Arabidopsis thaliana: one gene and its partners. The protein of the gene in region 1 interacts with the protein of each later gene in a pairwise test. Each region holds a gene or a part of one and is shown in the gene's direction. Other genes may lie near its edges. The genes, in order: ATG8D, SUT2, AT1G19450 and PGLCT.

What was found.
Region 2: the proteins of ATG8D (region 1) and SUT2 interact in a protein complementation assay, tested with the Arabidopsis thaliana proteins (one large-scale study listed by BioGRID).
Region 3: the proteins of ATG8D (region 1) and AT1G19450 interact in a protein complementation assay, tested with the Arabidopsis thaliana proteins (one large-scale study listed by BioGRID).
Region 4: the proteins of ATG8D (region 1) and PGLCT interact in a protein complementation assay, tested with the Arabidopsis thaliana proteins (one large-scale study listed by BioGRID).

What each region holds. Positions count from the first base shown.
Region 1 is NC_003071.7:2,080,928-2,087,575, reverse strand, and holds ATG8D (Ubiquitin-like superfamily protein), read left to right. Parts: upstream 1-2,693; 5' UTR 2,694-2,800; coding exon 2,801-2,837; intron 2,838-3,170; coding exon 3,171-3,277; intron 3,278-3,360; coding exon 3,361-3,385; intron 3,386-3,639; coding exon 3,640-3,695; intron 3,696-3,767; coding exon 3,768-3,820; intron 3,821-4,045; coding exon 4,046-4,164; intron 4,165-4,267; coding exon 4,268-4,365; 3' UTR 4,366-4,590; downstream 4,591-6,648. Other genes in the region: PGR5 (proton gradient regulation 5), read left to right, coding at 5,889-6,185, 6,268-6,372. UniProt on the Arabidopsis thaliana protein: Ubiquitin-like modifier involved in autophagosomes formation. May mediate the delivery of the autophagosomes to the vacuole via the microtubule cytoskeleton.
Region 2 is NC_003071.7:827,102-836,063, reverse strand, and holds SUT2 (sucrose transporter 2), read left to right. Parts: upstream 1-3,444; 5' UTR 3,445-3,767; coding exon 3,768-4,034; intron 4,035-4,542; coding exon 4,543-4,608; intron 4,609-4,755; coding exon 4,756-4,854; intron 4,855-4,955; coding exon 4,956-5,020; intron 5,021-5,113; coding exon 5,114-5,198; intron 5,199-5,290; coding exon 5,291-5,324; intron 5,325-5,433; coding exon 5,434-5,533; intron 5,534-5,638; coding exon 5,639-5,714; intron 5,715-5,997; coding exon 5,998-6,336; intron 6,337-6,464; coding exon 6,465-6,608; intron 6,609-6,705; coding exon 6,706-6,939; intron 6,940-7,030; coding exon 7,031-7,094; intron 7,095-7,190; coding exon 7,191-7,234; intron 7,235-7,350; coding exon 7,351-7,518; 3' UTR 7,519-7,785; downstream 7,786-8,962. Other genes in the region: ARPN (plantacyanin), read left to right, coding at 8,344-8,533. UniProt on the Arabidopsis thaliana protein: Responsible for the transport of sucrose into the cell, with the concomitant uptake of protons (symport system). Can also transport maltose at a lesser rate. May also transport biotin.
Region 3 is NC_003070.9:6,729,351-6,737,433, reverse strand, and holds AT1G19450 (Major facilitator superfamily protein), read left to right. Parts: upstream 1-2,409; 5' UTR 2,410-2,800; coding exon 2,801-2,998; intron 2,999-3,120; coding exon 3,121-3,183; intron 3,184-3,294; coding exon 3,295-3,384; intron 3,385-3,499; coding exon 3,500-3,559; intron 3,560-3,647; coding exon 3,648-3,713; intron 3,714-3,802; coding exon 3,803-3,868; intron 3,869-3,963; coding exon 3,964-4,039; intron 4,040-4,147; coding exon 4,148-4,212; intron 4,213-4,297; coding exon 4,298-4,390; intron 4,391-4,466; coding exon 4,467-4,547; intron 4,548-4,629; coding exon 4,630-4,714; intron 4,715-4,812; coding exon 4,813-4,859; intron 4,860-4,924; coding exon 4,925-4,987; intron 4,988-5,081; coding exon 5,082-5,141; intron 5,142-5,231; coding exon 5,232-5,297; intron 5,298-5,393; coding exon 5,394-5,453; intron 5,454-5,535; coding exon 5,536-5,763; 3' UTR 5,764-6,023; downstream 6,024-8,083. Other genes in the region: KCS4 (3-ketoacyl-CoA synthase 4), read right to left, coding at 6,765-8,083.
Region 4 is NC_003076.8:5,270,826-5,278,705, forward strand, and holds PGLCT (plastidic GLC translocator), read left to right. Parts: upstream 1-1,650; 5' UTR 1,651-1,828; exon of another isoform or gene 1,829-2,069; 5' UTR 2,070-2,078; coding exon 2,079-2,334; intron 2,335-2,477; coding exon 2,478-2,592; intron 2,593-2,664; coding exon 2,665-2,732; intron 2,733-2,844; coding exon 2,845-2,977; intron 2,978-3,060; coding exon 3,061-3,160; intron 3,161-3,260; coding exon 3,261-3,373; intron 3,374-3,454; coding exon 3,455-3,548; intron 3,549-3,622; coding exon 3,623-3,776; intron 3,777-3,894; coding exon 3,895-4,041; intron 4,042-4,116; coding exon 4,117-4,190; intron 4,191-4,294; coding exon 4,295-4,383; intron 4,384-4,466; coding exon 4,467-4,581; intron 4,582-4,670; coding exon 4,671-4,853; 3' UTR 4,854-4,987; downstream 4,988-7,880. Other genes in the region: AT5G16140 (Peptidyl-tRNA hydrolase family protein), read right to left, coding at 46-96, 186-253, 337-421, 501-692; AT5G16160 (uncharacterized protein), read right to left, coding at 4,988-5,030, 5,114-5,267, 5,348-5,411, 5,611-5,751; AT5G16170 (Core-2/I-branching beta-1,6-N-acetylglucosaminyltransferase family protein), read left to right, coding at 7,101-7,676. UniProt on the Arabidopsis thaliana protein: May be involved in the efflux of glucose towards the cytosol.

The sequences.
Region 1 (6,648 bases):
GGTGAGATTCTCTAATTAAAAACCGTTAAGACTTCTTTGCTTGAAGATCTGGCGATTTCTGATGATTTTGGAGTTTCCTAAGGATTCTTACCAAATCGACAATGACCAACAACGATATATGCTTCACATGTCCATGCGTCTTAACCTTGCTTCATAGTCTCACATGTGGCTTTGCGTTGGAATCTTTAAATCTTACTTCTACAAAGGGTTTAGTTTCCTAGATTGGACTTTCTTTAAGTTGGGCTTCTTCTTATAAGTTAAACTTGTTGGTTCTTTGGTTATGCAACATGGATGCTTGTTTAGATAATCTAATATTGTAAAATTTGATGTGTTTGTCGAGTCATGTAAGTGAAAGATTCCACTTTTGCAACAAAAGTTTTAAATAAAGTGCAACATTTATGAGAAAGAAAAAAAAAAGGTTTTATGCAAAAGGACTCTCCAAATGATTTTTTTTGCTAGACAAACATCCATCTCAAAAAAATACAGGTCAATATCACAGTCTCAAAAGTCACCTACAATATAGTCCTTCCGTATATCGATGACGTAACAGTCGATAACTCCGTTGGAAGACATAAGAGTTTTGTTAAACAAACCCTCCATATATTTTTTTATTTTTGCAAGACAAACCTCAATGTCAAATAAATACAATATTACAATCTCAAAGTCACCCGCGATATAGTCATTTTGTATAGCGATGACATGACAATCGATAATTCCGTTAAAAGCATAATGGATATCAAAATAGACCTTTGTTTTGCTTTTGTTGAAAACCACATGATTGTGTGAGTTTCGTTATTAGAAATAGAATTGAGGGAAATAATTAGAGTTCTTTCATATTATATCTTCTTCTTTATTCATATGAAGTTTGGAGATTCATTTTTCTTTTCCATTTCGATCTTCATCCATTTCGATGTATGTGTTTGTTGAATTGTGTTCCACATGATCAAAAATCTTGGTTTGATTTTAAGTGATTCATTTACAGTTTTGAAGATCCCAATGAAAAATAAATATGAATCTCCAAATTTTCAGATAAATAAAAATTCAATAATTTTGGTGTATATTGTTTTATGGGTAATATTAGTAGATAACCAAATAAAACATACAAATTAAGAAACTAGCAGAGAGAAAGTTTTTTGTTACAAAATAACCATGGATCCCACGTTGTCGGAAGAAAGGAAATAACAAATCTACCCTTCATTTGTTGTAAGATGAACAGTAAACGAAATACATCCGTGTAATTTTTCAAAATAGCATGTAACATTAAAATTTCACATGTTATATTTAGTTTAAAAACATGCTATTTCAAAAAACGTTATGAATTTTTAAGAAAAAATATTCTTATGAAATTCTTTTACGTGAACAGAATCTTAAAAAAAAAAAATTATATGTGATTTTAATAAAAACCATGTATTACTAAAAAATAGGAATATATTTTTAAAGAAATCACGTGTGATCTTAATAAAAAACGTGTATTACTACAAAATATCATGATAAAAAGAGATATTAAACTGAATAGAATGTTTTTTCCAAAAAATACCAGGTGCTTTTTAATAAATACTATGTAATAAGAGAAAATAACAAGATAAAAAGAGGATATTATGTTATCGCATGTATTTCGGAAAAATAACATGTTACAAAGGACATTTACGTAATTACACGTGTTTTCCAACATGTTTCCGACAAGATACTGTGATTCAAGGTTAGTTTGTACATTCTTTTCAAATCTATAGTCATTTATTATAAATACTCTTGTTTTATTGTATGTTTTCTAATGTAGTTATTGGTTGTCATGTCATCACTACACAAAAAGATAATATTATGAGTGATTTTTAAGATTGTAGTGTTGACATTCATTTATTTGATATGAAGATTTTTTTTTACAAAAAAAGTTTACATAGAAATTTTTTACACTAAATCTTTATGTTTTTAATAGAGTTATCGTCTATATCAAACCTACATTTATTTGACATAATAGTTTATCTTATAAAAAATGACTTCATCTGTTCTTTTTTATTTGATTGGTTAGGAAAAACACACATATTAAGTTAAACATATTAAAATTGTTAAATGTATTATTTTTTGTATTTTACAATTTTTTATAACTTTAAATCAATAATATTCAATTATTTTTATCAAAGTTTATAATTAATTAATAATAACTAATAAATATTTCATAAAAAATCTAAAAATTAATCTTTTAAAAACTTATTTTTTTCAAAAAACAGAGAGTGTTAAATAGATAGATTTTTTTACACAAAACCCAAAAAAAAAAACTAAGACCTTGAATGTTTTTTAGATTTTGTAAGAGTTTTTGATTTTTGTTTTTTAAAAACTTATTTTAATACCAATCAAGATTTTAAAATTTTGGTTTCCCTACAATTTAGTAAAACTATTTTATTGTAGTTTTCCATTCATATTTAAGTTTTTTAGTTTTTCTAAAGTTTAGAAAATCTAGTTTTTACTCAATCAACGTTATTTTTTCAAAAACCAAAAACCAATTTTTTAGGGGTTTTTAAAACAAAAATATAATAACAAAAATCTAAAATCTATAGACTAAAATCTAAACTCAAAAACTGAATCGAAAATATCCATTCAGGCCTAATACATCCAATATTTCAATACTTCTTAACTCTTAACTCTTAAGTTTTAAGTAATTAAATATATAAAGATCTGTTGCCAAGCGTACCCTTTTTATAAACATTCCAAATAACTATCTCCATTCTTTGGAGTTACCCAATTTCGACGTTGAACACAAACCCTTGCTTCTCTCTTCTCTGTTTCTCTCTCGCAGCGAAAAATCATGGCGATTAGCTCCTTCAAGCATGAACATCCTCTTGGTTCGTTTTCGATTTAAACCTAATCGATCAATCTTGTTGATCTTTGTGTATCTCTCTCTCATCGTAGGGATTTTTTTAGCGACTAGGTTTAAAAATTCTCAAAATCTGGTTACGTCTATTTCAATTGCTTCTGAGTTTGCATGAATTGATCCTTGATTCTGATTTCCAACGATTTCAATTTTGATTGCGTTAACAGTTATAAGAATCCGCAAAATTATATGTTGAATGATTTTATCGCCGATTCTGTATTGTTTCGTGAAGTAGTATGCATAATCTTTGATTGAAACAAGTTTTGTGTTTATTGATGCAAATACATTATGATCTTTATTCAAGTGGAGATGAATATTGATGTTGAAGTTACTAAGTTTCACTTGTCTCTCTTGTGTTCCGTGGTCGAGTCTCTGTTGTTCACGGGGCGTAGAATCGCTATTTCAGTCCCTGTACATAATCTTTGATTGAAACATGTTCTGATTTGGTGCTGCTTTTGCTGAGGAAGCAAAATACATTATAGTCTCTGTTCAAGTGGAATCCTAAGATATTATCACTGAGTATGTGTTGTTCACGAGGCTTAGAATCACTATTTTAGTCCCTGGAGCCTGGAGTAGTAGTGTACATAATCTTTGATTGAAACATGTTTTGATTTTGTTCTACTTTTGCTGAGGAAGCAAAGTACATTATAGTCTCTGTTCAAGTGGAATCCTAAGATATTATCGCTGAGTCTGTGTTGTTTTACGTGGGTTAGAGGATGTTGATGTGTTGAAAATTGATGGATCTGTGTTTTTTTTGCTCTTGAATGTTACAGAAAAGAGACAAGCTGAAGCAGCACGTATCAGGGAGAAGTATCCAGACAGAATACCAGTATGAATTTTGGCTATTTTCATTTAAGAAAATTGCATAGCTTTTGCCTTATTCTCTCTGAAATTGTTGCAGGTCATTGTCGAAAGAGCCGAGAAGAGTGATGTCCCGGATATTGATAGGAAAAAGTAAGTCCTTACTTCTCTTGAGGAGTTGGATATAATCTCTTTCTTCTCACTGAAAGTGGCTTCAAGCCCTTTTCTGAGAACCCTACACTCCCTCACATTTAGTAATGAATTGGTTAATTGGATAGAAATAATTTTTTTTTATTGAAAGATCTGGAGGAATTTCTGGTTTTCATGGTTTGTTGCTTAGGGATAATGAATTGGCTGACTTACTATTCAAAACTTTAGGTACTTGGTCCCAGCTGATTTGACTGTTGGCCAGTTTGTTTATGTTGTACGGAAGCGGATCAAGCTCAGTCCCGAGAAAGCCATCTTCATTTTTGTCAAGAACATTCTACCACCAACTGGTTAGTTTCAAACACGTTCCTTAATCATATACTTTTCCAGTTCAAGGAATCATATCTTTTTCTCAGTTGAGCTAATAGTAGTAGTGTTATCCTTTTATTGCAGCGGCAATAATGTCTGCAATTTATGAAGAGCACAAAGACGAAGACGGGTTTCTATACATGAGTTACAGTGGTGAGAACACGTTCGGGATCTTCTTCTAATGCGCTTGGAATATGTGGATGCATCAGATTATCAATGTACAGTCTGTCTATTTCTCTGCTTGTCTCTAGTTTTCATGACATTGGACGAAGCTTTTGAAACTTGCATGCTATGTTATTAACATGATAAGGTCTTCCGTTCATGGTGTTAATTTGGCTTTATGCTACACTTAATTTCAAACTTAGTCGCTATATATAGTTGAGGTCACTTGGTGTCCTCCTTGAATATTGGCCCGGCCTATTTCACTAGTCGTTGAACCGTTACGATTTCTATCTTCTCAAAGTTAGCTCGACCGTCAAATCTCTAAGCTCTTGCAATCTCTGCTTCTAAGGAACACAAAACAGAGATAACTTTAGCTATAAATATTTAGATTTCAAAAGCAACTTGATTTAGGTAAATTTGTGCACACTCTAGAATAGATTATCATCTGTTACAGATTATTACTGTACAATCCAGCAAAAACTAGGCCTGGGATTTCGGATTAACCCAATGACCGAACTGAACAAACCGTTTTTTTGGTTCTGATAACCGACTATGAAGGGAAGGCTAAACCGATCGGCGAAATTATAATTGAAGTTCGGTTCTCGGTTCGGCAGACATAACCGATCAGTTTTCTCGGTTAATAGATACTATAAATATAAAGATAAAAACATTAGATCTAATCTTTTTAGCTTCTTCTCCGTTTCCTTTTGATCCTCATCCATGGCTATTTAGTCAATTCTCTCTATCTGCATGTGGTTTTCACTATGGTAGCACGTCGGGGCATATTTCGTTACGGAGATATCGTCATCCCTCGCTATCACCGTCACCGTCACAGACGTAGATCTGCTGATTATGAAGAGGGTAGCGGCACCAAGATACCATCAACCCTAATTTTTAATAGGTTTGGATTTTTAGTTATTTTGGGTTTAAGTTTGTTTTTCGTTTTGGCCCAATTATTGGTTTGTAATTATAAAATTTTGTTTATCTTCGCCCATTCTATAATTTTTGTTTTGACCCATTATCTTGATTTTGGACTTATTCGGTATAAACTAACCGAACTAAAAAAAAAATCGGTTTAGTTCAGAGTTGATTTTGAATCCTATAACCAAACCGACCCGAACCAAATCTTTATTCGGTTTAATTTGACAAAATTTTAAAGAACCGAAAAAACCGATTAAACCAAACCGAACCGATTACCCGAATAAACCGAATGCCCAGGCCAAAAACAACTGAAAATAAAAAATAAAAAATGAGATAGGAGAATATTTAATCCGACGGTGGAGAAATGTTGATATAATAAAACGTGATACAGAGGATCATAAACCCGCAACATGAGAAACGTAATAAGTTAAGTCAAAAAAACGAAAAAGCCAGAATCATATTTGTGGCTCTGGTTTCTCCATCCAAACAAAAACAACACCCAAACCTTGTCCACACCAAAATGTTAAACTCAAAATCCAACCACACACACACAATTTCTCTTCCTCTCTACCATTAACATCGATCAGAAAGACCGAGAGAGAGAGGGAGAAGCTGATTGATTATGGCTGCTGCTTCGATTTCTGCAATAGGATGTAATCAAACTTTGATAGGAACTTCCTTCTATGGAGGATGGGGAAGTTCCATCTCCGGAGAAGATTACCAAACCATGCTCTCCAAGACAGTTGCGCCACCGCAACAAGCCAGAGTCTCAAGGAAAGCAATCAGAGCAGTTCCAATGATGAAGAATGTCAATGAAGGCAAAGGCTTATTTGCACCTCTAGTTGTTGTCACACGCAACCTAGTAGGCAAGAAGAGGTTTAATCAGCTCAGAGGAAAAGCCATTGCCTTACACTCTCAGGTTTGCTTGTCTTATAATCATTCTCTTAAGAACTAGTCAAAGAAGCAAAGTTTTGTGGAACTGGGTTCTTTTGTTCTTTCAGGTGATCACTGAGTTTTGCAAATCGATTGGAGCAGATGCAAAACAGAGACAAGGGCTTATCAGGCTTGCTAAGAAGAATGGAGAGAGGCTTGGTTTCCTTGCTTAGGTCTTAAAAAGAACAAATCTTTCTCTCTGCTTGTGTCTGATATATACACTCACAACTCCTCTTGTTGTTCTTGTCTAGATGTATTTTGTCCAAACCTATAATCTTGATTTTTGTTACATTGCCTTTGAGGGTTACTCAAACACACATAACTGCTGCCATTCTCATCTGAAAAGTTGTTCAATAAGGTCTTAGCTGAACTAGTTTTCTCAGTCACATAGAGATACAAAATATGTAATATTGCCACTCTTTCAACAGATTAAAAAGCCTAATCATAAC
Region 2 (8,962 bases), 1.3 Mb from region 1:
ACGTTTAATTGTTGGCTTAGCAATACGTTTAACATTATGTGGTTCCGTTAACGATCGATTAACTGTTTTTTATACTGTATATATTTTCAACGAATTGTACGGGAAAGAGAATATTTGTTAGATCAGGTTCACTGGAACAAGTAAGAATACGAGAAAGCTGGCGACGAGTAATCTAGGGCCATGAAACATGTGACTATGCACGTGAGGCTGTCTATACATTATCATGTCACTATTATGATGTTTTTACATGTTAAGTACGTTTATTATTACTATTTCAACAAGTGCCATTACTGGTTAATAGCATTTGTGTATAACTGCAGAACTACTGATCAGGTCAATTTCCCTTTGCGAAATTTATGCACCAATGAAATTTGCCATGATCAAATCTAATGTTTAATTTTTGTTATTGATATGATCTTATAAAGTAAAAATTAAAGGATCGACACAATTTGATTACATATCGTGCCACTATAGGCTTTGACCATCGAACGAGGCCATTCTTATCCAATCAAGAACGTAACAGGCACGTGTGGGTTGTGTGAGAGTAAGTCTTATATGTCCCATGGGAAGTATTATTGGACGGTGCATGCTAAAGTGATTTTACGACTAATCCAAGATCCATCTTTTAAACCAATCTAACTTTATTTACTGTAGCTAGTCAATATTATCTTCCTAATGTCTCGTTCGTTATAACTTACACGAAACCGTATTATCCCATGACATTCACGAAACAATTGTTCGACAAAAACAAAGGCATGATGTCGAGAACCATAAACAACTATAGTACTCTTTTTTTCTTCATATATTTCAAAAAACAAAGCTAATGTTTCATCTACCATTAACCTAAAAACGTATTGTCATCTATTAATATGTCTCTTGAATTTGATCACATGTTGTTTGCGATAGCACATAGTCTCGATGTCCGGTCAACGAGACGATGTTCAGGGGATGATGCATTTTTGACTCAACTTTGTTATAATTGGACGTAGCTTCCGAACTTAATTAGTCGAGTTAAGGTTTCGCATATACTCCGTTCTATATGAACACTCTATATATGCACAAATCGGACCCAAAAAAAAGCAAGATGATGTATTGGTTTTGTTGGGACAATTAAATGACACAAAGATTTTAGAAAAAAAACCATTACAAATATATGCACAAACCATTGTTGCTTTTTTAAAAAATAGTCCACTTTTTAAATGATTTAATGAAGTGAGTGGATATAAGAGTTCGTAAAAGAGCTGTCTCCACGTGACGTGATTCTTTTTTATTTCTTCACGTTCTTTCCACATTTCTATCTTTCAATATCGATGGTTACATTCTCAATAATGATTAATGACCATTATAATTTTTCTTTATCAACTTTAATGGAGTTATTATGTGAAACAGTGTAAGCCCCATTCTTATGTATATATGTAAATATCACATTATAAATTATGATCTATCGACAGAGAACGACAAAATTGCCAACCAATCACTAAGTTAGAAAATTAAATTTATTGTAATAACGCATCTCTTTTTTTTTTTTTAAACATATAGTTTTTATATTATTAATATTTGAATTTGTCGTTTGAGAAATGACGAAGGAGTTATTTTCAGGCGTAAGCATTTGACGTGCTCGACGTTAAGGAGATGACGTGTTAAGTTATGGTACATATGTTTTTTTCTCTTTTATTTGGGTCATAGCCGCGTTCAACACGTGCTTTTTGTCAAATGTAATTACATGATTAAACTAAAAAAACTTATTACTGTTTTTCAATCAACTTATTAACCTTGATCTTTTTTATAACAAAATAAAAATAAAAATTGGCACATGATCAAATCATCAATCTCAAATAAGATAAAACCAAAGGTGTAATAAGGTTCATTTTTTTGTGGAGAAACCGAGTCAATGCTACCAAATTGCCTATATAGGCTTGAATTTTATGTAAATGCTTTTTTGAATGGAATAATCCGATTTTTTATTTTATTTTTTCTTATGTAAAATTATAACATGGTATAGATAAAAAATTTGTTTTGTAATAAGTGATATTTGGTCTAACGGCGCGTATGTATAGTTCTTTTACAAAAGTGAGTAATAGTGGTTTTCTGGTTCAAATACTATTGAGAATGGTATCAGTTTTGATGGACAACAAGTGTATGAGACTCGGCTATAACTTCTCAATTAACCATTAACCATTAAAGAATACAAAATTTGGATTTTCGACTATACTTTGGTTCGGATACATCATACATGCATGCACACCATAACAACTAAACTCAAAAGGATTTGTTTTTGAACTTTTGATGATAAGAAAAAGAAAAAAAAGATGGGACATAAGAGTCATGTACACGTGGATAAGGAAAGGAGAAGAGAGGGACAAGGGAAGAGATGGAGAAAGAGAGACGTAAGTATTAATTCAATTGTGTGCCCTATTAGCTTTCATTTTCCACAAGCAAGAATAATATTAATAATTATGTATCATCTTTGCATTTTTGTACCAATACATGATACATTTGTTAGGCACACGTCTTTTTCCTTTTTCCTCCTTTTTATTTCTAACTTTCTTCCTTTTATTCGTTTAATCCGGCTCTATCACGTTAACACACATATATGTTATATCATCTTTTTACAAACATGTTTACATTAGTTATTAGAAAATACATATACTTGTAATAGTGACATTGGTAAGAAGAACTCTATCACCTTCACAATCACACACATATATGTTATATAATCTTTTTACAAACATGTTTACATTAGTTATTAGAAAATACATATACTTGTAAATAGTGACATTGGTAAGAAGAAAAAAACACTATTAAATAGTGAAAAAATGTTTATAACTCTCTTAATTAACATTACTTATTATTGCTAGCACCTAAAATCTCCCACAAAATATTTGTTGTAAAACACAAATTTACAAAATGATTTTGTTTTTAAATTAGTAACACATGTTCATATATACGTTAATAAGAACATACCCTATATGATTTTATATAAAAAAATTTCTTTGAGACGTCTTATCCTTTTTTCTTTAATAATATGCAATTGTGAGAGTTTGGATTTGAATGGTAGCATTAGAAGCAAACTTGAACCAAACATATTTCATGAAGTCAAACTTGAACCAATGTAATCACTAATCACAGTGTTCGCAGTGTAAGGCATCAGAAAATAGAAGAAGGGACATAGCTATGAATCATATAATCTTGACACATGTTTTATAGGTTTTAGGTGTGTATGCTAACAAAAAATGAGACAGCTTTCTTCTAATAGACTTAATATTTGGGCTAAATGTACCACAGTTGTGAATTTCTTACAAAAATGGGCCGAGCTACAAAAAACTACAGGCCCACTCTCAACTCTTATCAAACGACACCGTTTTACTTTTTTAAAAGCACACACTTTTTGTTTGGTGTCGGTGACGGTGAGTTTCGTCCGCTCTTCCTTTAAATTGAAGCAACGGTTTTGATCCGATCAAATCCAACGGTGCTGATTACACAAAGCCCGAGACGAAAACGTTGACTATTAAGTTAGGTTTTAATCTCATCCGTTAATCTACAAATCAACGGTTCCCTGTAAAACGAATCTTCCTTCCTTCTTCACTTCCGCGTCTTCTCTCTCAATCACCTCAAAAAAATCGATTTCATCAAAATATTCACCCGCCCGAATTTGACTCTCCGATCATCGTCTCCGAATCTAGATCGACGAGATCAAAACCCTAGAAATCTAAATCGGAATGAGAAATTGATTTTGATACGAATTAGGGATCTGTGTGTTGAGGACGATGAGTGACTCGGTGTCGATCTCGGTTCCGTATAGGAATTTGAGGAAGGAAATTGAACTTGAGACGGTCACCAAGCATCGTCAAAACGAATCTGGTTCTTCGTCGTTCTCTGAATCTGCTTCTCCTTCGAATCATTCTGATTCGGCTGATGGTGAATCTGTGTCGAAGAATTGTAGTTTAGTGACGTTGGTTCTTAGTTGTACAGTTGCCGCTGGAGTTCAATTTGGTTGGGCATTGCAACTTTCTCTTCTTACTCCTTATATTCAGGTACTTACTATTACTCTTGTCATTGTTACCATTTCTATCACTTGTGGCTTTCTCTATAGCAATTTAGATTCGAGGGTTTTGTTCTTGTGTAGCTTTGTACGAGAAAGTCGAGTACTTTGTAGGTGAATCAATGAATTCTAATACTTAGGTTAGGTAGTTGTTGTCACCAACATAGCCATGAGATATTTTCGTATGGAACTCTATAGCATTGGCTTATCGAAGAGTATATGACATTGGAATTTAGCTAGATTGTTTATGTTCATTGGATTACATAAGCATTTGTAAAAATATAAAAGACCTTAGCCTTTTTCGGAACTATTGTATAATCAGAGATTAGACTGTGTTTAGAATAGTATTGTACTGGTCATATATGTATCAGGTGGGTAGTTATGGTGGTAGATAGAACTATTGTTAAATATCTGTTTGCTGGAAGTATTTTGATTTTCTTGTTGCTGAAGAACCCTTTTGAGTTTTATCTAACAGTGTTGCATTTGGTTGGTTGATGCAGACCCTTGGAATATCGCATGCTTTTTCTTCGTTTATTTGGCTGTGCGGCCCAATTACAGGCCTTGTGGTAGGTTAAAAGTTTCTTTAAGAATTTTAGCAGTTTTACTATCTTGCACGTAATGATCTCACGAGAGTTCAAGTTTTGATTTATATTGGATCAGAAACTATTTTTCTGCCCCATTTTGTTCATACTTATTTGTTTGTTGGGTTTTAGGTCCAGCCTTTTGTTGGCATTTGGAGTGATAAATGTACTTCAAAGTATGGAAGAAGACGACCATTTATTCTAGTTGGATCATTCATGATCTCAATAGCAGTAAGTGCCAATAGAAGATATGATTTCTGTTTTGATTTTCTTTTAGGAGATAGCTGGCTACATTGTGTTTTATATAAGCTAAACAAAAGCTTGCAATTTAGGTGATAATAATCGGATTTTCTGCAGACATTGGGTATCTGTTAGGAGATTCAAAGGAACATTGCAGGTAACTCTCCTGCTCCCCTGCCAATGGCATGTTTTTTATGGAATGTATCAAAATTAAAGTAACTGACGACTTGATGTGTATCTTGAAATGCAGTACTTTCAAAGGCACACGAACCAGGGCAGCTGTTGTCTTTATCATTGGGTTTTGGTTGTTGGATCTAGCAAACAATACAGTACAGGTTCAGATCTGCCTCTGCAATGTACTTGAGTGAATGGTACTAGTCATTACCTCTGTATCCAGGAATGATGTTTTCGGCTTTTTTATTTTCAGGGACCTGCTCGTGCTCTTCTAGCTGATCTATCAGGTAATAATGGAATATAACCATACACTTAACAGAACAGAATTTCTATTCAAACTCTAGAATCAGATTGAATATGCTGTGCTTCTAATGAGATGTCTCTTGCTGTCCCTAGGTCCTGATCAGCGGAATACTGCAAATGCTGTGTTCTGCTTGTGGATGGCTATTGGGAACATCCTTGGGTTTTCTGCCGGTGCTAGCGGAAAATGGCAAGAGTAATCTTTGAGATCCTTATTCTCAAAATCTTGTATTCTTTTTCCTCATTTGCAATTTTGCATTTTCCGCCAGCTGTTAAATGATCAGGCAATTTTACTGCGCAGATGGTTCCCTTTTTTAACTAGTAGAGCATGTTGTGCTGCATGTGGAAATCTCAAAGCAGCGTTTCTTCTTGCAGTGGTAAGCAGTATGTTTAATTTTCTGACACATGCATCTTACTAAGCTTTCTAAATTGCAATGGAATGGGCTGGTCTTTACGAAACACTCTCACGTTTGTACATTGTGACTTGTGATTCATATATGTCGCAAATCAATGCGTTCTGTTTGTATGTCTATATTATTTTTGAGGTGATTTTGAAAGTGAAATTATATTATTGCACCCAGTGGCTTTTGTTCTTGTTTCATAGTCTAAAATCTGAATATATTGTTCTATATGTTTTAAGAGTTTAAATCATTTTTTCAGGTCTTTCTCACTATATGTACTCTTGTCACAATCTATTTTGCTAAAGAGATTCCTTTTACAAGCAACAAGCCCACCCGCATACAAGATTCTGCACCTTTGTTGGATGATCTCCAGTCCAAAGGCCTTGAGCATTCAAAATTAAATAATGGTACTGCCAATGGAATCAAGTATGAGAGAGTGGAACGTGATACGGATGAACAGTTTGGCAATTCAGAGAATGAGCATCAAGATGAGACCTACGTTGATGGCCCTGGATCTGTTTTAGTGAATTTGCTAACTAGTTTAAGGCATTTGCCACCGGCTATGCACTCAGTTCTTATCGTCATGGCTCTTACATGGGTGAGTGCCAAAGAAAAATTATGATCAGTTATTACATATTTCACACTGTTTCTTTTCTTAAACTCTTTAATGATCTTTAAAATTATTTGCTTCTGTTATATTTTTGATTGTGGTCTTGTTCTTTGCAGTTATCCTGGTTCCCCTTCTTTCTGTTCGATACAGATTGGATGGGAAGAGAAGTTTACCATGGGGATCCAACAGGAGATAGTTTGCATATGGAACTCTATGATCAAGGTGTACGTGAAGGTGCACTTGGTTTGCTACTAAACTCTGTAAGAATCGTTATAATAACCTGTTTTTTAACTGCACTGCTCTTCAAAATTCAATTACTCGCCCGTTATTGAATATTCTTCTTCCCTGTTTCCGTAGGTTGTTCTTGGGATCAGCTCATTTCTCATTGAACCAATGTGTCAGCGGATGGGTGCTCGGGTTGTATGGGCTTTGAGCAATTTTACTGTATTTGCCTGCATGGCGGGAACAGCTGTAATCAGCTTGATGTCTCTCAGTGATGACAAAAATGGAATTGAATACATAATGCGTGGAAACGAAACAACAAGAACCGCAGCCGTAATCGTTTTTGCACTCCTTGGTTTTCCCCTAGCTGTATGTGCTTTCTTTCAACCGTAATTCTCTTTATTCTTTTCGTGTTGCAACATTTCTCTAAAATATGTGATAAAACCATTCTTTAATGCAGATCACATACAGTGTCCCTTTCTCTGTCACAGCAGAAGTCACTGCTGATTCCGGTGGCGGTCAAGGTCTGTGAAAAGATTCATATCTTCACTATATTCATAGTTTTTGTACTTAAATCTTAGATTTCAGTAATCCCTAATGGTTTCATTTCCTCACTCCAGGTTTGGCTATAGGAGTGTTGAATCTCGCAATCGTTATTCCCCAGGCAATCTCTCAAATCTAATTACACTGATAAATTTCATTCTCTTGTATAATGCCACTCACTTCGAGTGTAGTCTTGACCCGTAAATAGTGTCTGAATATGGTTTTGGCTCTAAACAGATGATAGTATCACTTGGAGCGGGTCCATGGGATCAATTGTTTGGAGGAGGAAACTTACCGGCGTTTGTTTTGGCGTCTGTTGCTGCTTTCGCTGCTGGAGTTATTGCATTGCAAAGGCTTCCCACGCTATCGAGTTCTTTCAAGTCCACCGGTTTCCACATCGGCTAAAATCTTTATACCACAGACATAAAATTCACAGTTAGATCTACCCGATTCTTTTTGACCACGTTCTCCTCTCGGCGTATATGTAAGTAGGTTTTGTACATCTAGTTTTCTTATATGTTATACACAGCAATGTGACTCTAAATTTACAGTACCTCTCTTCTCACGTAGAATATATCTTCGTTATTTTGAATCACTTTATATTTGTGTGTTCCTTTCCTCACAAATAGAAACTTGAAGCAACATATTCCAAACTCAATAGTCCAATCTAATAACACAATACTGTTGGTTCTTTAACCTATGATGTGTACGTTTTCCCAACATTACCATACTAATATAACAAAGCATTTCAATAAGAACACAAATTCAAACCTATTTTCGCCTATAAACTATGTACTAAAATCATAACCAAACTATATCTCCAATAGAAACAATGTGTCCATAAATAATAAATGCTCATATATCGTGGGTTGTTGATGACATAGTCTTTGTCCACAAGTTCCTTATTTAGTTGATATAAGCATTTTCAAAACAAAGAAACAAAATTCAACTTAGTGTAACAATGTCAAAACCAAACTCTTATCTTCAATAATGAGACAAAAGAAACCGAAGTTAAGTCTATAATCAATTTCTACATAGACAATGTGGCCAAAAATAATAAATGAACATATATCATGGGTTGTTGAGACACCCAATTTAATAAAATAAAAACATTGAATGTCTTATTTTCTTCTTCTTTAAAAACCCTTTGTACATTTACTCTTCAATTCATCCTCATTTACTCTCTATAGTTTCTCTCTCTTTCTCTAAACTTTCACCTAAGATCGATCAATGGCCAAGGGAAGAGGCAGTGCATCATGGTCGGCTCGAGCCATAGTGACTCTCATGGCTGTGTCAGTGTTGTTGCTTCAAGCTGACTACGTTCAAGCTGCAACGTACACGGTCGGTGACTCTGGTATCTGGACCTTTAACGCTGTGGGTTGGCCTAAAGGCAAACACTTTAGAGCCGGCGACGTTCTTGGTATATACTTCACATCCTTTTAATCAAGCTTCAGTAATTATTATACTATCTTGTTACACTTAAACCACAAGCAGTTAAGCTTTCTAATCTTCATATCCACTAGGGATGTATCCATATCATGGCTGCTTCTAAGTATGGGCAAGATGTGCTTTTGTATAAAGCACACGACAAATAAAAAACTTCCTATAGTTTAAAGGTTACAAATATGATTGATAAATGTTTTGCATACACAGTTTAAATAGTGTATATCTTTTACATGATTGAGCCTGTGATATATTTTACTATATTATAGATATGTATGTATACATCTTCCTTCTCCAAAATTTTTTTTCTAGTTTCGATTATTCACAAACGCTGATTTATGTGTATAGCAAAAATTCATGTGCGTTTAAATTTAACAAAAAATATTTTAAAATATCATAAATAGTA
Region 3 (8,083 bases), on another chromosome or scaffold:
TATGTTTTAAAACATAATGTTATTGGTAAACATTGAAAATGTCATCTAAACTTATGTTTTAAAACATAACTAGATCATAACTCGTGCTATACAGCACGAACATTAATATTTTGTATAAATTAAATTGTATACTTTATTATGTTTGCTATGTTTGTCAAAATTATTTGTTATATTTGTCAAACTTTAGTAAAATATATTTAAATATAATTAAATTTATTAAAATTTAATAAATTTAAAAGTTTTTGTTGTTTGGAGACGCATTATCTACATACAAAATACCTGTTTCTATTTTTTGAGTATTTTTAGGGCCTGAAACTTTTTATCCAAACTGACCTAAACCCAAATGGACGCGATCCGAACCGAATATTTAGAATTATTCTATTAGGTAGTAAATCATATACCCATTAATCCCAAATCCGAACGGGTTATACCCGAACTCGAATGGGTTACTCATATGCCTAGCCCTATTCTCTGATTTAATTATCTAAAAAATCCCAATAAAACATATGTTTTGGTGACTACTTTTTATTCAAAAAAATTTACATCTTCTTCTGCCAAAATCATTTCATAAGACATCCCAAAACCCTTGGAATAATGATTCCATGAATGAAGAATCCTAATTTGAATATACCAAGAGGTTTTGAAAGGTTTTAAGTTTTTGATAGGTGTGTATGTGAGATGGTACATCCATCGTGATGGTAATCGGCTTATTTATAATTTTAACTTGCATTATACAGCAGGTAGTCTTATATTTTAGTTAAACTAAAAACTTTTATTGTAAAGTTGATTATAAATATATGATATTATTTTATTTGATTTTAAATGTATAGTAAACTGCGAGTTGTATATGTTTTGTTGATATTATTTATATTGTTTAGTGTTTAAAATTATATACTTGTATTTTGATTGTTAATTTTAAAGTTTCACATATAGTATATCATCTTGTATTAATATTGATTTAAACCCGTCAATTGTAGGATTTTTCAGCTTGTATTAAAAATTGAATCACATCATACACATTAAAAAATCTAATATGTTATTAATTATTGTAGTATATAAGATTATAAATTTTAAAATAATATGTATGAAATTGAATATAAATATTCAAACTATGACACAGTACTCAGTAAAAAAATTTCTTAAATCTACTTTTGACCCGTTATAGTATTTTTTCATGTATTGAACAGTTTATATTCGTTTTTAAAAATTCAAATTGTGGCATATGCGAAAAAATTCTAATTATTTTTTTATAACGATGATATTATTTTTTTGCAAAAATAGAATCATATAAAGATGAGAGGTGAACTATAATAATTAATAAAAAATTAATATGATAATTTAGATATCAAATCTAATTTGTTGATTTTAATTGGTTACTTTTTTGGAAATTAATAATGTATTTCGTTTTTGAGTTAAATTTAATTAATTAAATTAGTATTTGACTTTTAATTTTTAAAGAAATAAATTAATTTACTCTTTAAAATCTTATTTCTAATGACATACCTATGTAATTACTTACAAAAAAATAAAGTTATATTTAAAATGTATTTCCTAAATAATATAGTAGGATGTTATTGGTAAACATTGAAATAACATGTCGTATTCTCAAAGATTTTAAATATTGAAAATAAATAAATAATGTTGTATCTGAATAAATATTTATATTTATTGAAGTATTCGAAATTAATGACATCCATATATTTTTCATATACTAGAAAACAAAAACTATAATTATTCGAGTTTATCTAATAAAATAATGTCACTTGCATATTTGTGACCTATCGACATCAATATCAACGAGGTAGCGAAAATGCTAAAAAGTAGAGGAGGATTCGAGCATTATATTCATATTTAAGTGTTACTTTAATAATCTTATTATTTGTCCTAAATTGAAGTTTTAGCTAAATTTTCTCCCACAATATTGTTATTCTGATTTTGTTAAGAGTTAGGACAACATCTAAATATGAATTCTATAATGCATGCTAACTATTATTATAAGTGCTAAAATATAAAATGACATTGTCACTTTTTGTTGTCAAAAGGAATGTCTAGTGGCCTCGTATTCTAATATGGGAAGTTTTAATTATTATTCCTACCAAAAAATATCTTTGAAGTAGACAGTTTACCTAAACAAAAAGAAAAACATTTTCTTAAAAATACAATATAGTTTAGTCTCAGCCTGTACCACAATTTTATAGTATTGTTGCGTAATTAGTTACATTGTAAAAGCTCATTATAATACTAATGAGTATGTAGAAGTATGTAGAAGAAAATAAATGATTCAAAGCGACTACAAATGCTTGTATATGTGAGCGAACATGGGACAATGATTCAAAAAATTATCTTTGCGCAAAAAATAACTCGAAAACGACAATCAGACAAAAAAAAACAATAGTTAAATTTGATATAAAAGAATTTAAAATGAACGATATCTTATTTAATTACAAATTAAAATGTTTTTAAATTAAGTTTTTTTTTGTCGACAGAGAAGAAAAAAAACAGGTCCCTTTACGAATTCTATAAATCGATGTTAGGCGACGCGTTCTGAGGTGGAAAACTATGAAACAGTCTGCGTCTCTCCACGCAAAGGCTCAATTTTTACAAACCATGAAGAATTCTTAAGCAAAACAAGTCTAACATCTTTTTGAATTCACCCAAAACTCAAATCCTACCTCAAATTTCGTATTTTTCTTCTTCTGCATTTTCTAGTTTAGGATCGACATTTTTATCCTCCGAAAGATTCGTGCTTTTTTCTCTCTGTAGATTACGATTGTTTTGTAGATTTAAGAAAAACAAAAAGATGAGTTTTAGGGATGATAATACGGAAGAGGGAAGAAATGATCTTCGGCGACCGTTCTTACACACAGGAAGTTGGTATCGGATGGGTTCGAGACAATCTAGTATGTTGGAATCGTCTCAAGTTATTCGAGACAGCTCAATTTCTGTCTTAGCTTGTGTTTTGATTGTTGCTCTTGGTCCTATTCAATTCGGATTCACTGTAAGAACAACATAAACAAATATCTCAACTTTCTTATATTTTTTTTTATCAATGTGGATTTCTCTGCTTTTGCTCAAATTGACTAAGAAAGTGTTGATTTTGATTTATCTTTTTGTTTTCAGTGTGGTTATTCCTCACCAACTCAAGCTGCCATTACTAAGGATCTTGGTTTAACTGTATCAGAGGTATGAAGGTCCCATCTTTATTTAAGAACTGTTCTGTTTTTTTTTTTTTTTTTTGTAAAGACTCTTGTTCTGTAATTTTCTGACTTTTAGGTTTCTTGTTTGATGTTTTAGTACTCTGTGTTTGGGTCTCTATCCAATGTGGGTGCTATGGTTGGAGCAATTGCGAGTGGTCAGATTGCTGAATACGTTGGACGGAAAGGGGTATAATAGTTTTGTTTCTTGATTCTAAAACATGTTCTCATCTGTGACAATTTGTCATGTAACATCTTCTTTCTTGTTGTATCTTATTTACTGTGTTTTTCTTTCCTTTTGACAGTCTCTGATGATTGCTGCAATTCCCAATATTATTGGATGGCTTTCGATATCATTTGCAAAAGTGAGTGTTTTGGTGTTCTCAAAGTTTCTGATATTCTTGGCTTATCTCTATACCTACTAAGTTGTTGTTGTTCTTGGTTTTTGTTTAGGATACTTCTTTTCTTTACATGGGAAGATTGTTAGAAGGCTTCGGAGTTGGGATTATCTCCTATACGGTAATATTAGATTCAACTATTTCTTTGATTTCAGCAATGTTTGTTTGGAGTGATCAATATAATTACACACCTTTGAATTGCGATTTTAGGTTCCCGTATATATAGCTGAGATCGCTCCACAGACCATGAGAGGAGCCTTAGGTTCAGTTAACCAGGTTTGTCATGTTTAGTTAGCTTCACTATTTTTATGTTTCATTTTATGAGCTGATTCATATGTTAACACTAAACAATAAATGTTTTGTGTTTATAGCTTTCTGTAACAATTGGGATAATGCTGGCGTATTTACTCGGTCTCTTTGTTCCATGGAGAATTCTTGCAGTTTTGGGTAACTCACAAAACATTTTGACTTGACTTGGGAGAAACTATACCTGTTTTTATTTTATTTTGATCGATACAGTCTAATCACTTTCTTGTTTGTCTTCTTTATGTTTAGGAGTATTGCCATGTACATTGTTGATACCGGGTCTTTTTTTCATTCCTGAATCTCCTCGGTGGTTGGTATGCCTCTACAACCGTATTGCTTATATTGTTGAGTTTGTTGCATTATTGGTTATCCTAAATTGTTTTGGTGTTGTAATTGTAGGCAAAGATGGGTTTGACAGATGATTTCGAAACTTCATTGCAAGTTCTTCGTGGATTTGAGACTGATATTACCGTTGAGGTTAATGAAATCAAGGTAGTGACTAAACTGAAGAAATGCTTTGATGTGATTTCTTGTCTTATTTAAAATTTTCATTTTATGCACTCTGCAGAGATCTGTGGCATCATCTAGCAAACGTTCTGCAGTTCGGTTTGTAGACCTCAAGCGCAGGAGATACTATTTCCCACTGATGGTGCAATTTCTCTTACCTCTCTTGAACTAATTTTGTCAACACATGAGAGAAACTCACTCTTTTCCTGTAATCTGTGTTACAGGTTGGTATAGGGCTGCTTGCACTTCAACAACTTGGAGGAATCAATGGTGTCTTGTTCTATTCGAGTACAATTTTTGAATCTGCAGGTAGAGTCATATGTTTTTTTTGATTATTGGAATGGTCCTAAGATAGAATAAACAGATTTCTAACTATGCTTCTTTGTTTGCAATTATCATTCACTAAGGGGTGACATCAAGTAATGTGGCGACATTTGGAGTTGGCGTTGTTCAGGTATATCATTTCAATCTAGGAGACATTAGATTCGATTTTTCTAACCGTTGTTCATTCTATACCAGGTAGTGGCGACTGGGATAGCGACATGGTTGGTGGATAAAGCAGGTCGTCGGCTTCTACTCATGGTGAAGAATATTTGAGATTCATCTGTATATCTTACAAAGTCTGAAGAATTTATGTATGCATAACATAATATTAGCATTTTCTTCTGAAATGCAGATCTCTTCTATCGGAATGACGATAAGCCTCGTGATTGTAGCAGTTGCATTTTACCTTAAGGTAACATTTTAACTTTTGACATCTCTACTTGTACAATGTAAGAGTGTCACTCTAATTATGAGATATTGAGGTTTCTTAATCTTTTGTTAGGAATTTGTATCACCTGATTCCAACATGTACAACATTCTAAGCATGGTTTCCGTAGTTGGAGTTGTGGTAAGTCGTTTGTTTTATACATTCACACAACGAAAGATACTTTCTTATTTACATATTTCCCGGTATGTGTACTAAATCTGGCTGAGTTATTTACAGGCTATGGTTATTTCTTGCTCTCTAGGAATGGGACCAATTCCATGGCTGATTATGTCTGAGGTACTAAATATTAAAACATGGTGTTCCTTAGTGTTAAAATCACAACTGGAAATTTTAATACTGATTAATGTTGGTAAAACAGATTCTGCCAGTGAATATAAAGGGTTTAGCCGGAAGTATAGCAACTTTGTTAAACTGGTTCGTGTCATGGTTAGTGACAATGACTGCAAATATGCTGTTAGCATGGAGCAGTGGGGGAACTTTCACTCTCTACGCTTTGGTTTGTGGATTCACTGTGGTTTTTGTGAGTCTTTGGGTTCCTGAGACTAAAGGAAAAACGCTTGAAGAGATCCAAGCTTTGTTCAGATGATCAAAACAAGAAGAGGAAGAAGAAGACAAAATTTTCACTTTTTGCTTTCTCCATTACAGATCATTCTTTTGTCCCTTCCCTGTGTCTGTATTTCATGCTTTGTTCAATGTATTTCTTCTTGACATTGATTATAATTTGTTTATCTTGTACAAGCATATCATTATACCTTTAAATTTGATTTTTTGTTTTTGTGTGTAATTTTTCGGATTCTCAAGATTAATAGCACTATATTTGTGTATTCAACAATATCTTGAATTAAGTATAGAAAATCAGAAATGCAAATGTTAGTGTTTTGGATCCAAATGGGAAAGCTACCATGTGATAGAAACTGCTTTGGGAGTTTTGTTGTTTGGCGAACATGAAAGGACTATTTCCAATGCAAACGGCGGTCGATTTGAAAAAGAAAACAACAATATAATAACAATTTTAAAATCATTCTTTATATAACATTCTTGGCATGTCCCACTGTCCAATTTGACCATTCATTAAGAAATCAGAACCAAGTAAACAATACTAAGGTCATTTTCTTCCAAAAGTAATAAACTAGGAAAATATCTAGACAATTTACAGATAGTAACGAAATAATACGTTACAAGAACATGAAAATGGTTTTTGTAGTTACCGTTCCTTGTTTATATTCTCAAAGTAACGGATTCACATATTCACACCATTCAACACGAGTGAGTGTCAGTGAAAGGCAAAGTTGGACAAACGAAAGTTTTGGTTTCTGTAATTTAATTGGAGCAAACTTCAATAATAGTAAACAAACAACCTTTTGTTTAACAATGTCCCTAATTTTATTCTGTGATTTCGTCATTACACATCTAAGATCTGAAAACATGAGCTCAAGAACTGTAACTCAAATATCACAAACTCTCCAAAACACATAAACAACAAACACATTGACATTGTCAGAGATCAAATCTAAGGGTTTCTTCTCTAAGAAAAAAACAACCATGGATTAGTCTCGAAGTTACACAATAACAGTTCCTCAAACGAAGCTAATAACTTAAAGTTACCGGATACTTGTCAATACAATCTTCCCAAGGACTGTTGTTCGAAGGTTTCACATGCCTTAATGCTTCCCAAATCGCGCTATTACATTTAAATCCACTTCCGAACGCGATTTGCCAAACACGATTACCTCTTCGCATCCTTCCCTTCGCTTCAATGTAAGCCAATTCATACCAAATGGAGCTCGAAGATGTGTTACCAAATCGATGAAGAGTCATCCTCGAAGCCTCGACATGAACTGGTGAAAGCTGCAGATTCTTCTCTAACTCATCGATCACAGCTCTTCCACCAGCATGGATACAGAAATGCTCGAAAGCAAGTTTGAAATCCGGGATATACGGTTTCACTTTACCGTTAAAGAGCTTCTTCACAACTAGAGTCATAAAGAAGAGAATCTGCTCACTTATCGGTAGAACAAGAGGACCCAATGTAGTGATATTGGTTTTGAGAGTTTCCCCTGCAATCGCCATTAGATCTTTCGACAACGAAACCCCGGTTCTCCCTGTATCATCCTGCTCTTGATAAACACAACGGAAAGCTTTATCATCTGCTCCACGGTGAGTCCTGACTACATGTACAAGCCTGTACTTAGACCGTCTCTTGTCCCTCGACTTGTTCGATAGCAAAACCGCAGAGCCACCAACTCGAAACAAGCAGTTCGGTATCAACATCGATTTCTTGTTACCAAAATACCAATTCTGAGTAATGTTCTCAGTAGAAACAACAACCGCATAAGTGTTCCTATGTACCAACAACATGTCTTTAGCAAGATCCACAGCGATAACTCCCGCGCTGCAACCCATACCGCCTAGATTGTAGCTTCTAATGTTACCTCTAAGCTTATACTTGTTCACAATCATTGCAGATAACGAAGGAGTTGGATTAAAGAGACTACAATTCACAACAAGGATTCCAATATCCTTTGGTTTCACATTAGTGTTAGCGAAAAGGTTATCTAAAGCACCAAACATGACTTGTTCAGCTTCTTCTCTAGCAGCAGCCATTGAAATTCTCGGTGGAACATAATGCATAGCTTCAGGGACATAAGTGTCTTCCCCTAAACCAGAACGCTCAAGGATCTTGCGTTGAAACTCGAGAGCAGAGTCATCGAAATCTCCGGTGAGTCTAGAATGTTCCATGAACCGAGCGTAAGGAGCTTTGAGATGATCAGGTGGGAGATAACAAGAGAAATCAACCAAGTAAACGGGTCTAGGTCGGGTCATAACATAAACCGTTAACCCGAAGACTAGAATCGCTGAACAGATGATGATACTAACCAGATTGTATTGTAGATGGATCCAGAGCT
Region 4 (7,880 bases), on another chromosome or scaffold:
GAACATAGTTCTGGATTCAAGGGATGCTTAAGTCAGTGACTTTACCATTAAAATGTGGCGCAATGGTACTCGATAGTGTGAAGCTAGAGATCCAACCTTTAAAACGACAACAGAACAGTTTCAGGTATGATGATTATTTGATCACGCAGCTGATCTTTGCAAAGTTATGAACAGAAAATACAAACCGATTCGCCGCTGAAGTTCATATAAGTCTGAGGTTTAGCCAACAAGATAGGTACATCTTCAATAGCACCTGTACTGATTCATACATAGAACCAAAAAGTCATCAGTTTTATTATTCTTCAAACCAAAGAACCAAAGCAAGAGAAGTAGAACCTATTCCGATTAGAGCTTTGGACTGTATAGTGTTCATCAACACCCCTTCTTTTCTAGCCAACACATCGATCATCTCGAAACCAACCTGAAAACAACACAAAGTTGTAGCATTGCCAAGATCAAATCCAGCAATTAAGTAAAAGAAAAAGATTGTGTATCATTACATTGTGTCTTGTTCCATGATACTTGTTTCCTGGATTGCCCAACCCAACGATAAGCCAAGGAGTGTACTCTACTTTGAATCTATCATCCTCACCACCAGAAGTAGATGAACAAACCCGAAACCTCTGTTTCCGGAAAACTGGCTTTTGCGTTTGAAAATGGTAAACACTTGGTGTATACGTTGGGCACAACATGGAACTGTTGTTGATTCAAAGACCTATTGAAATTGAAATGACTAGAAACTTTGAGATTCAATACTTGGAATATACATAAAGATAAAAGCTTTTCAGGATATAATGAAATTCGAAATCATATAACAACTGAGAATCAAAACTTAATGAAACCCATTAACAGAGATACAGCGCAGATAAAAAATAATTGAAGTGTAATCGAACAGAGGACTCAGCAAAATTTCTGGAGAATCAGAGATTAGCAATGAGCTACAAGGATTACACAAAAATGTATTTGTGGTTTATATTATGTTATAAATTTTCAGTAGAAGAAGGATAAGTGAGAAGGAAAATAGCTTACCTCTTCTTCTTCAGGATTTTTCGAAACAATTTCGGAATTTTCTTTTGCGAAGACGTTGGAACGAGATAGAAGTAGAACGATGAAATACTGAGACGAAGATGTTAGAAATTGGTCCCGTTTTGTATTAATGGGCTTACTAATATTAGCCCACAAAAATGATGGGTTAAATAATAGTGGCCCAAGTTACTATGATTTTTATACGTCACCGTTACTATGCTCAATGGCGGCACGTGAGTACTATTGAATAACACGTGCGGCTATATACGTCATCCAAAATCTAATCCAGAAAATCCAACGTTGCCAAATCGCCAATCCTGCGGCTCTTACGTAACTCTTTTACTTCTTTTTTTCTTACCCTTTTATCGACTAATTTATGTCGAATAATAATTGTAAATAATTTTCTCAATTTATAAACTCAAAAAAATTTCCTAATTAGTCCCGCCACTTAGTTCGATTTAGTTGATACTGGTTGATTTATTCAAATTTCCTAGCAAATATTACAAAATTACCAATCCAAAATTGAAAGTTGCATCACATGCATTAAATTTCATGATTTCTTTAAAATAAGAAATGAAAATACTCTATTTTCCGTATGGTTTTGGATAAATATGAATTATTACACAAAAATCCAAAACTAATAAGGAAACAAAATTGCATTATTTATTTTTTGGTGCGTTTTAATTTTTTTTTTTAAACGACAATAAGCTCCACAGTGAGTTCTTCTCAGCAATCACAATCTATCTGGTTTAAGCCCTCACTATCCTCTCTCTCAAATCGCGGAGTCTCCGAAGTTTCTCTGGTAATTTTCAAATCTGAAGTTTTGCTTTGGATATCACGATTTTTGTTAATCAGCCGCGATCGAGAAGAGCGTTTTTACTCTCTCGTTCGCATCAATGCAACATATTTCCCAATTTCGTGATGTTGCGTCTTCATCGTTCCTTACTTCTCTCTTTTTGAGTTCTGTTTGGTATAAATGCGATCCTTTTTTTTCCTTCCTTGCCTAATATTTCTCGTTTCCTTGCAATTACGGTTATAAAAAGTCAGACAAAATGCAGTCGTCAACGTATGCGGTTAAAGGAAACGCTGCGTTTGCGTTTCAGAGACGGACCTTCTCTTCTGACAGATCGACGACTTCTACCGGAATTCGCTTCGCTGGTTATAAGAGCTTAGCCACCACCGGGCCACTCTACTGTTCTGGTTCTGAAGCCATGGGAGCGACGCTTGCTCGTGCTGATAACGGGATCCAGAGCGTTATGAGTTTCTCTTCTGTCAAAGCTCGATCGGTCAGAGCTCAAGCCTCATCTGGTTCGTCTCTTCTAATGCTCTTCTATCTTTGTCTATCATTAGATTCTGTGATTGCTTACAAGTTCTTAAATACAATTTGAAGAATCTAATGTATAGTTTGGGATTTGGACTAATCATCTGATGGTTTGAGGAATGAAATGTAGATGGAGATGAAGAAGAAGCTATACCTCTGAGATCTGAAGGGAAAAGCTCTGGAACAGTTTTGCCTTTTGTTGGTGTTGCTTGTCTTGGTGCTATACTCTTTGGTTATCATCTCGGGTATGACTAAATACTACACTGTTTTTATCTTGGTGTGATCATGGATGATGATGTTCTATTGGACTGAATCAGGGTGGTTAATGGTGCTCTTGAATATCTTGCTAAGGATCTTGGGATCGCCGAAAATACTGTTTTGCAAGGCAAGTATATGATGATCCACTTCTTTACTCCTCCTGTCAACGGTAAAATGATTCGTGTTTTGATTAGTAGCCAAACTCATAATTGGTATTCTCTATGATTGGTGTTGAGCAGGATGGATTGTTAGTTCTCTGCTTGCTGGTGCTACGGTAGGTTCATTCACTGGAGGTGCATTAGCTGACAAATTTGGACGAACAAGAACTTTTCAATTGGATGCTATCCCGCTTGCCATTGGAGCTTTCTTATGGTAAATTTTCAAGCACTAAGCCATACCTATTGGTGAGACGTTAATTGATTTCTTAACGCATTGGTTCTTTTTTTATTGATTAGTGCAACAGCTCAGAGTGTGCAGACTATGATTGTGGGACGTCTGCTCGCTGGAATTGGAATTGGAATCTCATCAGCGATTGTACCACTTTACATATCTGAGGTTGTTTAAATACTGATTTTCATTATTTTTGCACTTTTAGCATAAGATGTTAGATTTGTTTATATGTTATGTCTCTGAAGCGTTTGATGATGGTTGTCAGATATCACCAACTGAAATCCGTGGAGCACTCGGATCTGTGAACCAGTTGTTCATCTGTATAGGAATACTTGCAGCCTTGATAGCTGGATTACCCCTTGCAGCAAACCCTCTATGGTATGTAACATCCCTTTTTTATTCATCATCTTTTATTTTGGGTTGCATACTGTGATAAGTTTTGATATCGTGGTCTTCTAGGTGGAGGACGATGTTTGGTGTTGCAGTTATCCCTTCCGTTCTATTGGCCATAGGAATGGCTTTTTCTCCAGAAAGCCCAAGGTGGCTCGTTCAGGTACTCTCAAGGAACAGATCTCAACACTTAAAATGAGATCAATTTTTGACAAGTCAAGGAAATCAATTTTGCAGCAAGGAAAAGTCTCTGAAGCTGAAAAGGCGATCAAAACTTTGTATGGTAAAGAAAGAGTGGTTGAACTAGTTCGCGACTTATCAGCCTCTGGCCAAGGTTCTTCTGAGCCGGAGGCAGGATGGTTTGATCTATTCAGCAGCCGCTACTGGAAAGGTATAGCAAGACTTGGTGGAGATACATTGTTTAGTTTGTAATAAAAGCTGACGGATTCCTTTCAAAGGTCATATCGGATTGATCAATTTACATAGTTTCTTGTCTGTTCTTGTTGTAGTTGTAAGCGTAGGTGCGGCTCTCTTCTTGTTTCAACAGTTAGCCGGGATAAACGCAGTTGTGTATTACTCCACATCGGTATTCCGTAGTGCGGGAATCCAATCAGATGTTGCAGCCAGTGCTCTCGTTGGAGCATCAAATGTCTTTGGTTCGTTTCCCCGTTATGTTCTCATTAAATTCCAAAAATAACCAAAAAAATAACACGATAAAAATCTGGTCGCAGGCACTGCTGTTGCTTCATCGTTGATGGATAAAATGGGAAGGAAAAGTCTTTTACTGACAAGCTTTGGTGGAATGGTACATGTTTTTATTAAAATTCTTAGCCATATTCGAAAATCTCAACCCTCATTAGTATTACCACAACAGGACTAACTTGGATTTTATGGTTTTGTATTGAAAAGGCTTTGTCAATGCTGTTACTCTCCTTGTCCTTCACATGGAAGGCTCTTGCTGCCTATTCTGGAACCCTTGCCGTTGTTGGAACTGTTCTGTAAGTCAATCTCCTCTTAACACTTCCTTATAGTCTCTCTGTATAGGACTTGACTGACTCTTATGCTCGGTTGTTTAAATCAGATATGTCCTGTCATTCTCACTTGGTGCTGGCCCGGTACCGGCTCTTCTTCTTCCAGAGATATTTGCATCCCGAATCAGAGCAAAAGCCGTCGCTCTTTCTCTCGGCATGCACTGGGTATATACATATATCTATAGGTTTTATGGGTTCAGAACAGAGTTTCTTCTCTCTGTTTCTAATGTTTTGTTTCTCTTTTGCCCTAACAGATATCAAACTTTGTGATCGGACTATACTTCTTAAGCGTTGTGACTAAATTCGGAATCAGCAGTGTCTACTTGGGTTTTGCTGGAGTCTGCGTCCTTGCGGTCCTCTACATTGCAGGAAACGTCGTCGAGACTAAAGGTCGATCACTGGAGGAAATAGAGCTTGCTCTTACATCTGGAGCTTGAAATTAAACAAAAGAAATCAGCAGAACAAAAACCAGTTTGTTTCATCATTTAGTTTGTGAGTCTTTCTCTAATCTGCTACTCTTAAATTGTACAATGGACGACGTTATCAATAACGAGAAATCTTTTCATGACCACTACATGTTGGCTTTCCTTTCCCACCTCTCCCTGGTATCTAGCCTGTTTCAAAACAAAAAAAGCATGGCATTAGCACGGTTTTCTCAATATGAAAAAGAATTCTAAAATTAGCGAAATAAGCTCACCCCCAAAACAGTTTTTGTGGCTTCTTCGGTACTGTGACTACTGTCTTGTTATGATTCTGTTCTTCTAAGGTAGAAGAAGAAGAAGAAGTTGGTTCTTTCAACTTTTTAGAGCTTTCGCCATCTTCGATCGCTTTACTCTGAGAATTCTTGCTCGCTGCATTTCAGTGTAGAGCTTTTAGTCTAGTGAATATGAACTGAGAATTCTCAAAAAAAGAGAGCTAAATATATATATACCTTTAGGTTTCTTCTTATGAATCTTTGCATTAGCTTTTATTTGCATACGTCTCTTGTGTAGCTCCTGTAATCTCAACACAACCAAAATGGCTTCAAATTCAAATTGCTATGTACATAGTAATTCGGTTGAAAGAAAAAAAAAAAAAACTGGATTGAACAGTTGATAGAAATTCGAATCAAGATGATTATACGAAGTCGTGCTTACAATCTCATTGGGATATCTGAAGATCAGAAACATTAAAAGTCGAGGCAAAGAATCTGACCTGTAATTTGGAAATTTGTTTCTGGGTGAGGTTGGATCGATTAAAATTGGGTTGAAGAGATAGTGTTGAAGCTAATAGAGCTTCTTTTCGATTCTCCTCTGCTTCTCTGTCAATTTCCTCGTTTGTCCTCGTCGTCGCCATGGCTTCTCCGTCGGCAACTTTGAGAATGTTAAGAAACCGACGTCGGAAACTTTCCTTTCCTTTTTGTTGGGGGATTAAATACCGAAATTACCCTAAAATATTATGCTAGTTTAACTAACTACCCGAATGTTTTGAACTAATACATAATTGACCTAACACTTTCTCTAATTATCAATTACACCCAATTGTTTTGGAATTTTTGGCGTTAGTGAGTTACTATATTAATGAGAAATCTTAATTAATGTATCATAGATCGTGCCGAAAATAAATGGTCTATGTCTAACAGCTTTGAGTACAAGTAAAACTCTCAAGCTTGGTCTTTAATTACTTTTGTGCCTTGACTAAGCAATGTAATTAGACCTTACGACCTTTAAAAATCCACTAATCTAGCATGCCGATCACGACCGCAACGCTTACTCTCTGTATTAATGATTTTTGTAATCAAAACTTCATATTTGACTATTTAGCAACAAAAAGAAGGTTCTGGCAATGTGTCGTCAAGTGCACCTAAAGTTAGGCATGAAATATTGTTCCTTCCATGGTTTGTGGGTCAGCACCGAACATTTCGCACTCTCTTCCATCTCAGTACTGCAACATTTTGAATAATTAACTCGTCCAGGTTATTTATGAAGAATTCCTTAACTTTGGAGTAATCAGGTTAGTTTTTTTATTTGATATTATTTTGGTTTGAGTTATTTAATTTGCTATTGTATTGGTTCGGTTTAAGTTAGACTTTCAAAAAGAAAAATTAGACAAAATTGAACCCACGCACACAGATAAACAATTCAATAGATCATTCAAGTATAGGTTTGAAATACAGAACTGCTCGGTTATATCCACCTCTCACCAAGGTGTTCAATGTGATTCGGTTAAATTAAGATTAGATTCAAATATTCATATTTTCAACAGCAACAGAAAAAAAAACATATTTTGACAACATGCCACCCTTAGCTTATTTTGACAACATATCATCACCCTTACTTGAAATTGCAATCTCTTACTACACTCCGTCCTATGGGCAAGATAAAATTTCGTCAAATCGTGTAAATGTTAAGATCTAAAACCTAAGTTTTGTATCTAACACATGATCGTTATATACATATATTGACCTGAGAACAACTAAAAGTCAACAGGTCACGTCTTCGTTCCAAAGTCTACTCTTTTAATATACATTTATATAACTTGCAAGAGAGCTCCTTTTGACGTTGTCCAATACACTCCAAAAACCTTGTTTTTTCTTATACAACTTGTAATAACACATTTATAACAACTGGTTGCAAAATCCTTAACGATCACAACAACCTCTCTCTCTCTTTTTCTCTCTCTCCCTCTCCCTCTCTATCTCTACAATGAGCATTAGTGATCATAAGAGCAAGAAAGAAGAAGAACAGTACCCAATGATCACAAAGCCCTTGAGATTGATTCTCTTACAAAAGGGAAGTTATGTCTTAAGCTCACTCTTTTTTGTATTCGGTTTCTCGGTTGGTCTCTTCCTTTGTCTGCAACTAAAAGCCGTACACATGTCTACGACGACGACACAACGACAACCCTTATGGTCTACCTTATTATTCAACCACACGGTCCACACCACAGAGATGGATATCAAACAAGAGTTGCAACTACAAGTACTTCAACACAACATGAGTGATCAAGAACTCTTCACCAAGGCCTCGTCATTATCATCACCAACATCATCCTTATCGTCATCATCATGGTTAGGGAGGAGACATAATAATGATGGGAAGATGGCTGTGAAGGTGGCTTTCATGTTCATGACAGGTGGAAGACTCCCATTGGCTGGCTTGTGGGAAAAGTTCTTTGAAGGACATGAAGGGTTTTATTCCATATATGTTCATACTAATCCATCTTTTCAAGATTCTTTCCCCGAAACTTCCGTCTTCTATTCAAGAAGAATCCCAAGTCAGGTGATAATAACAGCTTTAGTTTGTTAATTATATCTTTCTCTTTTCTTAAATAAACCTATTTAGGTACCCCTATATATGATCAGTATACTACTAATCAGAAATTATATCACTAGTTTTCCAAAAACACATCACTATACTTTTCCAAACATATCTCTTCGATTTGACAGGTTGGTTTTTTCACATGGCACGTGCATTGATCTTGAT